Linked DNA regions of Mus musculus. The protein of the gene in region 1 interacts with the protein of each later gene in a pairwise test. Links are inferred from orthologs where the notes say so. Each region holds a gene or a part of one and is shown on either strand. Other genes may lie near its edges.

What was found.
Region 2: the proteins of Nutm1 (region 1) and Sh2d4a interact in binary tests that used the Homo sapiens proteins (3 or more experiments, as listed by UniProt). The two-hybrid records come from large-scale screens. The link is inferred for Mus musculus from reciprocal best matches to the Homo sapiens genes NUTM1 and SH2D4A.

Annotation. Positions count from the first base shown.
Region 1 is NC_000068.7:112,247,690-112,253,801, forward strand, and holds the end of Nutm1 (NUT family member 1), read right to left. Parts: intron 5,942-6,112; coding exon 5,813-5,941; intron 4,187-5,812; coding exon 4,047-4,186; intron 3,634-4,046; coding exon 3,356-3,633; intron 2,987-3,355; coding exon 2,870-2,986; intron 2,491-2,869; coding exon 499-2,490; 3' UTR 259-498; downstream 1-258. UniProt on the Homo sapiens protein: Plays a role in the regulation of proliferation. Regulates TERT expression by modulating SP1 binding to TERT promoter binding sites.
Region 2 is NC_000074.6:68,330,977-68,337,088, reverse strand, and holds part of Sh2d4a (SH2 domain-containing protein 4A), read right to left. Parts: intron 6,055-6,112; coding exon 5,853-6,054; intron 2,025-5,852; coding exon 1,894-2,024; intron 1-1,893. UniProt on the Homo sapiens protein: Inhibits estrogen-induced cell proliferation by competing with PLCG for binding to ESR1, blocking the effect of estrogen on PLCG and repressing estrogen-induced proliferation. May play a role in T-cell development and function.

The sequences.
Region 1 (6,112 bases):
CAACAGACTTAAAGGAGGCAGACAATAATAGGCTCTCCAGACAAGATTCAGTCTTGGGAAAGAGGGAGTGAACCTTTAGGGACTCCTGTTTTGGAACCCATCTATCTGGACATGAAAGTGATTCTTAGTAAAACACTACAGGGGAACCAAGATAAGGTTAGCAGTGTGGTCACTGGGTCCACAGAACCTGCCTTTGTTAGAATTGCTTTGCTCTATGTCACAGCCAGGATGCTCACACAGAAGAGCACATAGCATTTTCCAACCAAAAACAATCTTTATTTCTCCACATAACTTCCGAAAGCCAACTTTTCCCTTTGGTTCCCACTAACAGGACCTCTGCAACCTAGCCAGTCTGACCTGCCCCAGGATCTCCAGCTTCTGGCACAACAAAACAAAAACAGCATTGGGCTGAGACTGCTTCTCCACGGGGTAGGGGGAGCAGCAGCACTAAAATAGACTTTGGGTGCTGCTAGGTGGAGCAGGGTGGCCCTCTGCTTCCTACTGGCTACGACGTCGTTTCTTCCTTTTGCTGGTGACAAAACCGTCACGCCGCCTTTTCCGAGGCTGTGGGAGCTGGGCCATTCCCAGAGCAAGGGGCTTCTGCCCAGAACCATTAAACTGAGCTCCTTGCTGGTCTCTCTCTACAACAGTAGCTGGACTCCCAACTAGGGCTTGCTTCCCAGACTTGGGAGGGGGTGAAGGCTGGCCAAGGTCATCTACTTCAGTAGAGTGGCGGGATGTTTTCACAATTCCCTGACCTCCAGAGGCCTGACGAGTACTAAGGGGAAGCCCTCCTGAAGAGAGGCTGAGTTTTGAAGCCAAAAGGTAGGAGAAGTTGGAGAGCTCTTCGTCTTCTTCCTCCTTCTCTGTCTCTCTTCTTTTGGCTCTATCTGCTGAGGTGCATTTTTCTTTAATAGGGGTTTCTCTCAAAATATAAGCATCCCTGGTTGCCCACCTTGGGGAAGTACTTCCCTGGCCCTGGCCATTTGTCAATTTGGTTGTCTCATGTGTATAGGATTCTTGATTGTCTTGTAAAGGAACAAGGTCGGTGGGTTTGGAGGAAACAGTATCTTCCCTGCCCTCTCCTTGGAGGTTATAAGAATTAAAATTTGATAAGCAGGAATCCTTGCTGACCCCTGGTTGGGGGCAACTGTCATCTTTAACATCTAGTATGGTGACCTGATCTATGTTTTCCAACAGAGGAAAAAGTAGATTACCTCTGCTCTCTGCCTTTTGGCTAGTCTGGGCAAGAGAGGAGGCATCCTGGGTCCCAATGATAAGAAGATTGCCTTGGCATGTGGGTATCAGGGTGTCTTTGGAAGACCCCAGTGTGGAAGAGACAAGTGTTGGCAGCAGTGGGGGGCAAGCTTCAGCCCACAGATCACTAGGATTCTGTATGGTTTTAGGGCTCAGCGCTTGATTTTCTTTGGAAATTTTTTCTTTGGACCTCAAACCTGGACCACTGGCCATCAAAGATCCTGGCAAGCTGCAGGGGTTTCTCTTTTCTGGGACAGCTGTTGTATCTGGGCCTCCAGAGGGAATCACACTGTTCCCCACATCCTTGGGCACTGTGTTTTTTCTAGGACCTAGAGAAGCACTGTTTCTAGAATTCAATGCCTGGTCCTCTCTTCTGCATGCCTCATCTTGGATGCTGTCTATGACAGTCTCAATTTGTAAGGGAAGCTCTAAACCTACAGCACCCATGTCACTGCTCAGCCACAGTCCTGGGCTGAGAGAAACCCTGTCTAGGTTGCCAGCTGCTCCAGGGGAATGGTTTTGACTGTAACTCTGAAGCATACCAGGACCTCTGTCATCTCCCCGCACGGCCCTTGAAGAGCCCTTCTGGGAAACCACTGAAGGTGGTTCTCTTCCTCGAGTAAGCATCCCAGCTCCCCCGATCCGCTTTCCTATCTGCAATGTCAAAGCCTGTTTTTCTAACCCAAGTCCTTGCAGAGGAACTGGCTCTGTAAGTCCAACATCAAAATTGGGGGCTCTCATGTGTTGGGGATCTTCTTGCCAACAACAAGGTAAAACCTCTGGATTCCTATCTGCTACTGGGTAGTACCCAGGGGACCCAGTCCTTCCCAGGTGGCCATCCTGAGTTGCAGATAGCTGTTTTATAGCCTTCCCAGACATTTTTCTCTCCATACCCAAGAGTACTGGCATCCCCTGTGAAGCTGTGAGCTCTAGCTGTACATCCCAGCTGCTAGGGGATGGCAGATTATTTCCATCCTTGTGAATCCCCGCTGGACCACCTAGTGTTTGTTCCTGCCCACCATGTATTTCTCTTGCCTGCTTGCCTGGAGAAGCAGATTTTCCAATGCGAACAATGCCCGCAGCCCCCTGAAGCCCAGGTGAGGGCCGACGCCTTTGACCCCCGTCTTCATCTTCATCAGAAACAGAAGGACTTGAGTCTGACTGAGCTCCGCTGCAACTTGGAGGTGTCTGTGCATCTTCCTCCTCCAAGGCCAAGAGTCGTTTCTGGACCAGCTGGAAGGGAATGGACAAATGCCAGTTCTATACATGGTTAGGAGAAGAGGTGGCTGAGTGGGTGATAGGAGATGGTAGATAGTGTGGGGAAGAAAAGCAAGTGTTTTAAGTGATGGTGTCAAAGATAGATACTGTAGCTCTCTCTGCGTTAGAGCTGTGAGCCTTTCCTCGTTCCCTCCCTACTTGCTTTAGACTGTAGGCATAATGCTTTTGTGCACTGTGTGAAGGTTATCCTTGTGTTATTCAACTGCTGATTTCTATGCCCTTATATGACCCAAAGCCCAAACCTAAATTCTCTCACAAACAGTATCAAGATATCAAAGGGTTATACAAAATCAGCCAGGATCCTTTGCCTGTGTTCTTTGCCTCCCAAGTTTACCTGGGCAAGATTCAGTCCTTCTTCTTGCTCTAGTTCCTCAAGTAAAGACAAAGGATCTCTCTGCTCTTCTGGAGACAGCAGATCTGCCAGAAACTGAGGGTGTATGACTGCCTCCACCTGGGGAACAGAAAGGAGAGTGGTGTAAATCTTGATATGGAGTGATCTGTAAGCCCAGGTGCTCTAGAGACAAATCTATGAGGCCCATAGCCCATAGAGACAAACTTTAATGCTGGAGTTTGTTACAAAAATTTGTGGTAGTCCTTACCATCAGCTACCTACCTGTATACCTATTTCCAAATTATAGAATGGAGCCTACTGACTTTCACAGAACCCCAGATGGCTGGTGCCCCACAGTATCCAACTCATAGATATCTATTCAAAATTATAGGATGGAGGCTCCTACCACATGCAGAACCCCAGAGAGCTGATGCCTGATAGTGCCTCGCCCCCAAATACCAGAAATTAGCCATTGTAGACCTAGCTCACCTTGGAGACAAAGACTTCCTGAGAACAGAGTTCATCAATGTAGCTCAGAAGACTTGGATCTGGATACATCCCTGCACCTTCCTGCTGCCCCTCCTCCTCCTCTTCTGTCTTCCCAGTGTCCACGTAGCTTCCCATCAGCCCATCCATGATGTCAACATATTCTTGCACAGCTTCAGGTGGGATCTCTTTGGGTGCCTCGGGAACAGGAGGCCTTTGAGGTTTGCGTTGCCGCCGCCGAGGAGCCCGAGTCTTAGAGGCTGCCTTCTTAGGGATGTACACTGAGGGAAGAGGTGGAGAGTGGGGAAGGAGCCTTGGTATCTACTTCCCAGTGATACTTGGAAGGGAAGAAATTCGGGTTCCAGAATGGGATTGAGGTGTTAGGGGAGAAAACATAAAAAGCTGGAGGGGGTGTGAGAGAAAACACGGTTAGAAATCTTTCCACACACCTTGACATCCCAACAAACCATCTGATCCAACGCCATGTCCGATAAAGGATAGGACTCATGCACAATCCAGATGAGAGAGTAGTTTACTTGGCCAAGATCAATAGCTCATTCAAGACAAAAGGAGCTAACACCCCAGCTTCCTAGGGGGCATTGCATTTGGCTTATAACAATGTCACTCCCAGGAAAGACAGACAGAAGCAAAAGCAGAGTTTCCTAATCCTCGTCTGCACTGCGGGTGGCCTTACCTGGCTGCTGGCAAGCCTCAGGGACCATGGACCCTGGAGGATCAAGTTTCAAAGGGGCTATAGGGGACAGACCCGGGGAGCCATTCATCAACTGTGCATTCTGTATCTGTGTTTCTTCCTCGGCCTCAAACTCCATGAACCTGCAAGGGTAAAGAAAGACTGGGCAGAGCTGGAGAGATGGCTCAGTGATTCAAATCCCTGCACGCACATGGCAGCTCACAATTGTCTGTAACTGTAAGATCTGACACTCTCACACAGACATACATGCAGGCAAAACACCAAGGTACATAAAATGGAAAAACAATTCACATTTTTTTAAAAAAAAGTACAGTCTGTAATAAGGAGAACCCAGTCCATCAGTAACACAGACGCCAGGCAGCATCCACACATGGCCAAGAAACCAAGCACCCTCCATTTGGCTCAATACTGTTGAAGTTGGGTCAGTCAGGGTAAGCTGCTCACAGGTAGGTAGTAGCCTAGTGACAGTTCTGAGAAATGCCATTATATTGTCCCTTCACCTTCAGTGGTTATTCAAGAAGCTAAATAAGGAAACTGGTGGTATACAGTTTGGATAACTCTCCAGGACAAAGTGATACCCTTTACTTCTGCTGCCTATCAATCTCACCCAGTGTCCTGATTAATTGCTACTTTATATAAGCTTGGTGAATCCATATAAGCATGGCCCATGTAACAGTCTAGAGGGACACTCCAAAGGGTTGTTCCTGATGGCCTCATCTGCCCCTTTCTACAACTGAAAATGATGGCGGAAGCAGAGCCCACCAGAGTGCAAAGGCTGGAACAGGTCCTCAAGGGTAACAGAGGGGAAAAAAAAAAGATATACTTGGAGGAAATGATTTCTTCCCCAGTTGCTGTGCTAAGGATTCTCACTATGTTGCCCAGGCTGGCTTTGAACTCCTGGCCTCAAATAGTACTCCCATGTCAGCCCTGGGGCCATGTGTGCTGACTCACAACACGGCCAACCAAAGTTACTTTTTAAGACATGGCTATCCTGTCGAAATGGGGAATAAAGAATCAGGAGACCACTCTGGGTATACCGGATACCCAGAGTCCCCTGTTTCTTCTCGCCAACCTTTTCCAGACTTGGTCCCTCCCTGGATTGGGGGAGAACCTGTTTCCTGTACTATTTTTAAAAACATAAACAAAGCAAACCATGAAAGGAAAAGTGCTTGTAAAGTTCCAGATCAATAGCCACGTGCCATCTGGCGAGCTCAAGAGCCTTCATGGTGAGGTTCTCTCAGCATGGGATTTTTAGAGGCCCTGGGTTCAATCCTATGCTAACCCCTTCAAGATAAAAGCCACATACAGCTCAAGACCTGGAGGCAAGGAAGCTTTCAAGAACAGACAGGATAGAGTAAGCCCAGAGCTCAGGTGGTAGAAACAGGAAGGGTCCAGGAGACCCTCATCTGGCCTACAGCCCTCCCCCTGTGGCACTACTTTATTCTATTTTAAAATGTATTCCATTTATTTATTTATTTATTTATTTGTATCATGTGTGTATGTGTGTGTGTACAATGTGTATGTATAGACCTCAGAGGACAGCCTCTGGGAACCCCTTCTCTCCTTCCTCCATGTGAGTCCTAAGATCAAACTCAGGTTGTCAGGCTTGTGGTACCTAAGCTACCTTGCTGAAGCTCTGTTACACCCCTCCCGCACCAGACACTTACAGACATCTCCCCATCTCCGCTACCCCTGTATTCGACCACTCCCCCACCCCTGCAGGGTGAATGAGGGTTCATCAAACTCACTTCTCTGCCATCTCATAAAAGATCATCCGGTCAAAGTTGCTGGTCCGCTCCCATTCCTGCAGAGCCCTCGGCAGTCCCTCCTCCAAGGTCATAGTAGGCTTCAGTCGGGCCAGGGAACGAAGCACTGGGCTAAAACCCCCATTAGGTCAGACACATTGTAAAAGTGTGCCCTGCACCTGTTCTGATGCCCACCTCAGTCCATATCCCCCTGTCTCTCACCAAATCTAGTATGTCCCTCAAGCCCTGTCATGCTCCATCTTAATAAGACCTTCAGACTGAGCAGCCTCCCTTCCCTCCCGT
Region 2 (6,112 bases), on another chromosome or scaffold:
TAAGAATGAATCAACAATGATATCATATTTATAAAATATTATGTGTAACACAGCACATTTGTGTTTTCTAGGCAAAGCTCCCACTGGATTTTTAGCTGTGCCATGTCCTCTGGCTTTACACAACTCTTTCAGACAGAACTGCCAGTTGACATATCAGAATTCTTAATGACATCAGCTAACACTTCCAATTTTCATACCCTGCTGTTTAAAAAAAAAAACCAAAAGACAGAAATGAAAATGTGACTGCTCTCATAATCAGGGACAACAGCACACAGCAACTGCTCAAGGACACAGGAACTACAAAGGCTGATTTCCTGTGCTTATCTTAAAAGGAAATGGGGGTGGGGTGGGGTCAGCAGACAGCAGAGGTGGCTATGCTGAAGGCATACAGAATCAGCAGAGTTCTGTTAGTCTCTGACAACATCACCACACCACAGAGGGACCTTACTCACAAGAGCATGGGGCATCTCTAGGAGTCAATGAAACCAAAGTCAAAGCACAGGTTCAAGGACACCTGGCAGTTCTGCTGAGACACGGGCTACTAAAGCAGCTATCAGGGAAAAGATATCATAGACGGGCCAGGGTTTTTGAAGTGGTTGCTCTTGCTGGGTGTTTGGAAACTTATTTTTTGTGGTCTATTTATATATGAAATAATACTACTAAACAGTAAGATGCCTTACACACAGTTCAAACCAAGACACTCTATGTGTGAAGTGGGAGAGATTGCCTTGAATAAACACTTAGGTAATAAGTCCAGTCCAAGCACACATAATGCCTTCTTTTATTTTCTGGGTCGGGGTTAGAACTGATCACTTTGTACATTATGGGTGACTAACTGAGTCAGAGCTGTACTCCAGGTCCCTGTCCACTGGTCTTAAATATCTGATTGCTCTTGAACTGAAGCAGTCAGGGGATATGACCTAGGGCAACAGAGTAGCCTTAATTAAACAAATATCTTAAGTCAAATGCTGAAACCATCAGCTCATACTGTCCAACGACTCAAAGAACTTGTAGACTTGCAGACTTGTTAGAGCAACAGAAAAACAGGATCAAAGCCACAGGACCAACCAGGGATCATGCAGGAGCTGGACCTAAACCTCTCATACCTGTAGCAAACCACCTTGGTATTCAGGTGGTTAGCCTAACAAGTGGAATGGGGCAGGAGGAGCTATGCAGCCTCTGTTCCCTGCCATTGGATCTCCTTCTCCCTACTTGGATTGCCTGGATGGGCCTCGTGGGAGAAGATGTGCCTAGGCTTGTTGGGACTAGATGCCCCAGGGTGAGGTGGTACCCAAGGGAGGATCCACTTCAATGGGTGGGGGGGATTTAGAAGGGTGAGGCTGGGAAAAAGGAGGGAGGAGGCTAAGATGGGGATGTAAAGTGAATTTTAAAATAGCTTCAGTTTCCCCTTTAAGAGATAAGAAAATTGGGGCTCTAGTAGTTTGAGTAGCGATTGAAAGAGATCATTGCTTCTTCAAGGTCACTGAACTGGATATGAAAGAGCTGGTGCTTAGCTGGCCTTCTGCCTGCTAACCCTGCCTCAGTCTGTCAAACCACTGACGTTCTAGTGGAGGAAGACAATAGCATGTGCTGAAGTCACACTCTGTCCGCCGAGTCCCTAGGAAGCCTTTCCCGCCCTCCCTGGAGTATTGTATTTGTGGTGAAGGATGATTAGCCCATTTCATTGCAGTGGCCATGAATGCTGACAGCTTTCTAAGTAAGCACCAGCAGACAGCTCTCTGAAAAGCCTTTAAGAAAAGGCTCAGTGGCAATACACTGAAAGACTGTTAGCGCAGCACAAATGAAGAAGGGAAGAGAAAGCTCTTACTGTTCGTTTGTCGTTCTTGAAGTGAGCACTGTTTGGTCTGCCATAGAAGTGGTCTCAGTACTCACCATGGAACCAAGGAGCAATGGTGTCTGAGTTTTTCTGGTAACCTGCACGGAATGGCAACTGTTCCTCTTTGAACCATCGAATGGTGTCCATCTGGGCGGAGCTGATCTCGGTCCTTATCACCCCCTGATTCCTGTCATGGGTAAGATGATTCCCAAGTTAGGGATGACTAATTTGAAATAATGTTCTCCATTCTGCCACACTCATAGATCAGTGTCTTGCTCAGCCACCATCAGAGAATCTTCCACCTACAGCAGATAGGAACTAATTCAGAGACCCATAGGCAGACATTCTGTAGAGTGAGAGACCTGGGAACACTCAGCCACACATGGAATGTCTTTATCAAACCCTTTCCTCAGGGCTCAGGAAGTGATACGGGAGAAGAGGCAGAAAGAGTGTAAGAGCCAGAAGGGATGGGTGACATCAAGGAAACAGTGTCTTCCAGATACGACAGGACTGGCACACACATGAAATCAAGAGACTCTGACTGAAAGCACAAGCCTGCACAGGTCCAAGTCAGATGGCATCCAGTGCTGAGAGAGGGAGTGGACTTGAATTCCCATCTCTAACCCCAAAGCTATCACCAACTGACAACCACTTACAAAGGAAAAACATCAATCTTCTCACTGGGTGTCCAAACCACACTTAAAGGATGCCCAGTGCCCAATACACAGCATACTCAAAGGTGTTCTCACAGATTGGTTTTTGTATCGTGATACTTTGTTTGTTTGTTTGTTTGTTTGTTTGTTTGTTTGTTTTTTAAAATCTCACTGGTCTTTTGATTCTATATTGTGATTTGAATTTTATATTTTAAAGGTTTTATTTGTCTGTGTGTATCTTATACTTCTTCACTGTTTATTTTTAAGTTATTTTTTTATTCTGTTTTGTTTGCCTGCTTGTTTTCCGAAGAGAGAAAGAAAGAAAATATAGAGTTGTATTGGTGAAGGTGTCGGGAGGACCTGGGAGGAGATGAGGGAGAAGTGTGATCAGAAAATATTATAGGAATTATCAATAAAAATTAAGCTTATGGTAATTTATGATAATCTGATTATAAATGTGTTACTTTATAATCTCTCCTATAATTATAAATCTGTCCTAAAGGAGAATTAAAGTTGCAACTGTAATTTAAGGAAAAAAAAAGAAATAATGAAGGTGTGTATAGCCTCACTCACATGCATACGTATATAAATGTATATGTGTGTATGCATACATATATATGCACACACAAACTGGTCTGCATCAATTCAACCAATAGAGGACTGGAAGTATTCAAAGAAACAAATTGCAACTATACTAAACATAGACAGACATTTTTGCTTGTCATTATTTCCCAAACAATATTATGTAATTATTTACTTATTTATATAGAACTTAGAGTGTATTAGTCATTATAAATGATTTAGAGATTAAGGTGCAGAGTGATTATGGATGCATTACAGGAAAATACTACAGCATTTTATAAACGGGGCTTGAGCATCCTTCACATTTGATCTCTTCAAAGGATCTTGGGAATTGCCTCCACAGATGCTGAGGGACAACTTTATACAGAGAGGGAGAAGGGAGAGGGAAGAAGGAAGACAGGGTGTGGAGGGAAAAGGGAGAAGAGAAAGGAGGAAGAGGTGGGGGAAGAGAATTATATGCATTCCACTTGCAACATCTAATCACAAGGCAGAGGTAATAGTAGGTTAGGTGCCCCACGTGCCACCATTGCATGGCTCCCAAGATCAGAGAAAGGAAAGCCCATTCACCTAGGGCCAGGCATAGCAATAGCCACTGCTAGGTTAGAACCAAATTCATTTTACCCTGGGTTAGAAGATCCACCTTCAATTAACATTTGGGAAAAGAAGCATTCAGAACCTGAAGCTGTTTCCCTGGAGTGCTTGGCTGTGCAGACAAAGGCAAGCGCAGGCAGTGAGCAAGCTGCCTCCCTGACTCCTTCAGTGCGTGCCTTTCCTCAAAGTCTCCATTTCTGCTCACCTCCCTCACTTGCTTCTTTCTCACACTTTGAAGAGGTTTCTTTCTACTAAAAGATGCCCTAGAAACAAGAAGGTAAAGGGAATATGTCTGCAGACTAGGGAGGGAAAATTAGCAATAACACCATTTTGAATCCAACTCAGCATCAGAAGGGCACCCTGGCACAGATGGGTTCTACTGCAGAAGGCAGCGCAGAGATGTAATAAATACACTCCCAAGTCCTGTTCAACAAGCCACTAGCTGAGCAGAATCTAAATCTAAATCTAAAATAAAGAGATTGGATGAGCTACTGGAATTTTCCATGATACACATTAATGTGGCCCTTTGTGCTTCCGATGGCAACATACTGTATGTGCCATGATTTCCATGTGAAATAACAGCTCTGCAGACATGTGCATGTGGGCACTTACACACACACATGCACATACAGAGATGCACACACACATATATACACACACATATGCAAATATGACTATGTATTATCATTTACGCCATTCAGAGGATTTGAGAGAAAATATCTTACAATATTTGTCTTTCCCCGAAGCTGACCTTGCATACACATTAGATCACATGACAAATTCTAATGCTAGTTCCCACATTAGCCTCCTTTTCTCCACATAATCCTCAGAGATAGAGCAAACCCCACATACATGGGACAGGCTAGTGTCTGCTAGTGTCTGCCTTTCTCCTGGCTTACCTGTCATAACTGCCCAGAGTCCCTGTCTACTCTGACACACAGGGAGCTCTTTTACATTGCTGTAAGCTGGAAAAGAACAAGCTGAGTACAGCTGACAAAAACTGTTTCCCACCCTAAAAGGCCACTTTCACTGTCATCCATCAAATATAGTGTGCCCTAAAATCATTACAGGAAAGACATCAGGTGAGACATATCCCATGCTAGGGGCTAGCAAACAAGAAAAGGCTGACTGTGGAGCTCTGTAGCCAGAGTTCCACTAGGCAAGGCCACATACAGGAGCCCATTTGTGACCGGTCACAAAGCTCAGGAGGTGTGTATTTCCTGACTTTATTTTTAGCTGTAAGGTGGAAAAATAAAACTTCATTTTCCAAACCATGTAGAGGGTCACCACGTCTCAATCGGGGACTTTCAGTGGAGAACGTAGAAATGATTACAGTGGGGGAATAATTCACTCTTGTGTTTCCTCTGAGGTCATAATCCTCAGAAAAAAATTACTTAAGCAATTAAAACACAGAAATTTTGTTTGTTTGTTTGTTTGTTTGTTTGTTTCATTTTCCCAAACTCTGAACAGAATTCTTTTTAGTTTTTAGGGGCAGAAGATGTAGCTCAGTGGCAGACTGCTTAGCTAACATGTGAAAGGCCCTGGGTTTGATCCTGCTACAAGCAGACAAATAAATATTAGAATATTAATAACATTCTATATAAGTCAGTAGTTATAAAAAAGAATTTGTTAGTCAGTAAACATGAAAGATGCTGTTTTCTTCTAGATCACTAAATTTTTCGTTTTTATCTTCGAGCACGTGTTGCCCCTAGAAGGTAAATGTAATTTCATCTCCAAATAGAGACTTTGTTCCAAAATGGATCCTTTCAAAATTCTGAAACTGTGATCTTCTCTCTGTGTCTTAGGAGAGAGCTGCCATCAAACCTTGACTCCAGCAATAAAAAGTAGCCCAAGATCCTAATGTTACTTTTAGTCTCTAGAGGCAATGCTGATCATTAAACACCCTTCGGCCTGCATGTTCCCCCTCCTCGTTTCTGTCAGCCTGTTGCCACTGGATGGAGGTAGGGACAGCAAGTCACCTTGACATCGTCACCCTGTGGTTGGGTTCAAACTTTAGCCACTGTAGATAACTTACAGGAAAGAAAGGAATCAAGGAAGCCGGGTTAGAGGCAAGCCTGTGTTGACTTAAGCAGTGAGCCAACATCCACCGCATCTCATGCCCCAAGGAACACAGTTTTAATCAGTCCATCTTGGCCCTTATGATGAAACCCCTCTGTATGGCTTCTTACCCTAAAGACTTTGGAGGGATTCCCAGCGGCTGTAGGAACTGGGGCTTCGGAGGAAGAGGAGGTCTTCTGGGCTTCTGTGGACCTGTCAGTGGGTTCTGCAGTCCGTCCCCACTCCTCCCCCTTTGGGATAGCCTCTTGTAGTCTTCCCGTGCTTGTTTAGCTAAAGAGCGTCTCTTCTCATCAGCCGCCTTAGATTTTCGCACTAGAAAGATAACATTGTCTGAGTTAGCCCACCAGGCTTGCCAACAGTCACATTCAGA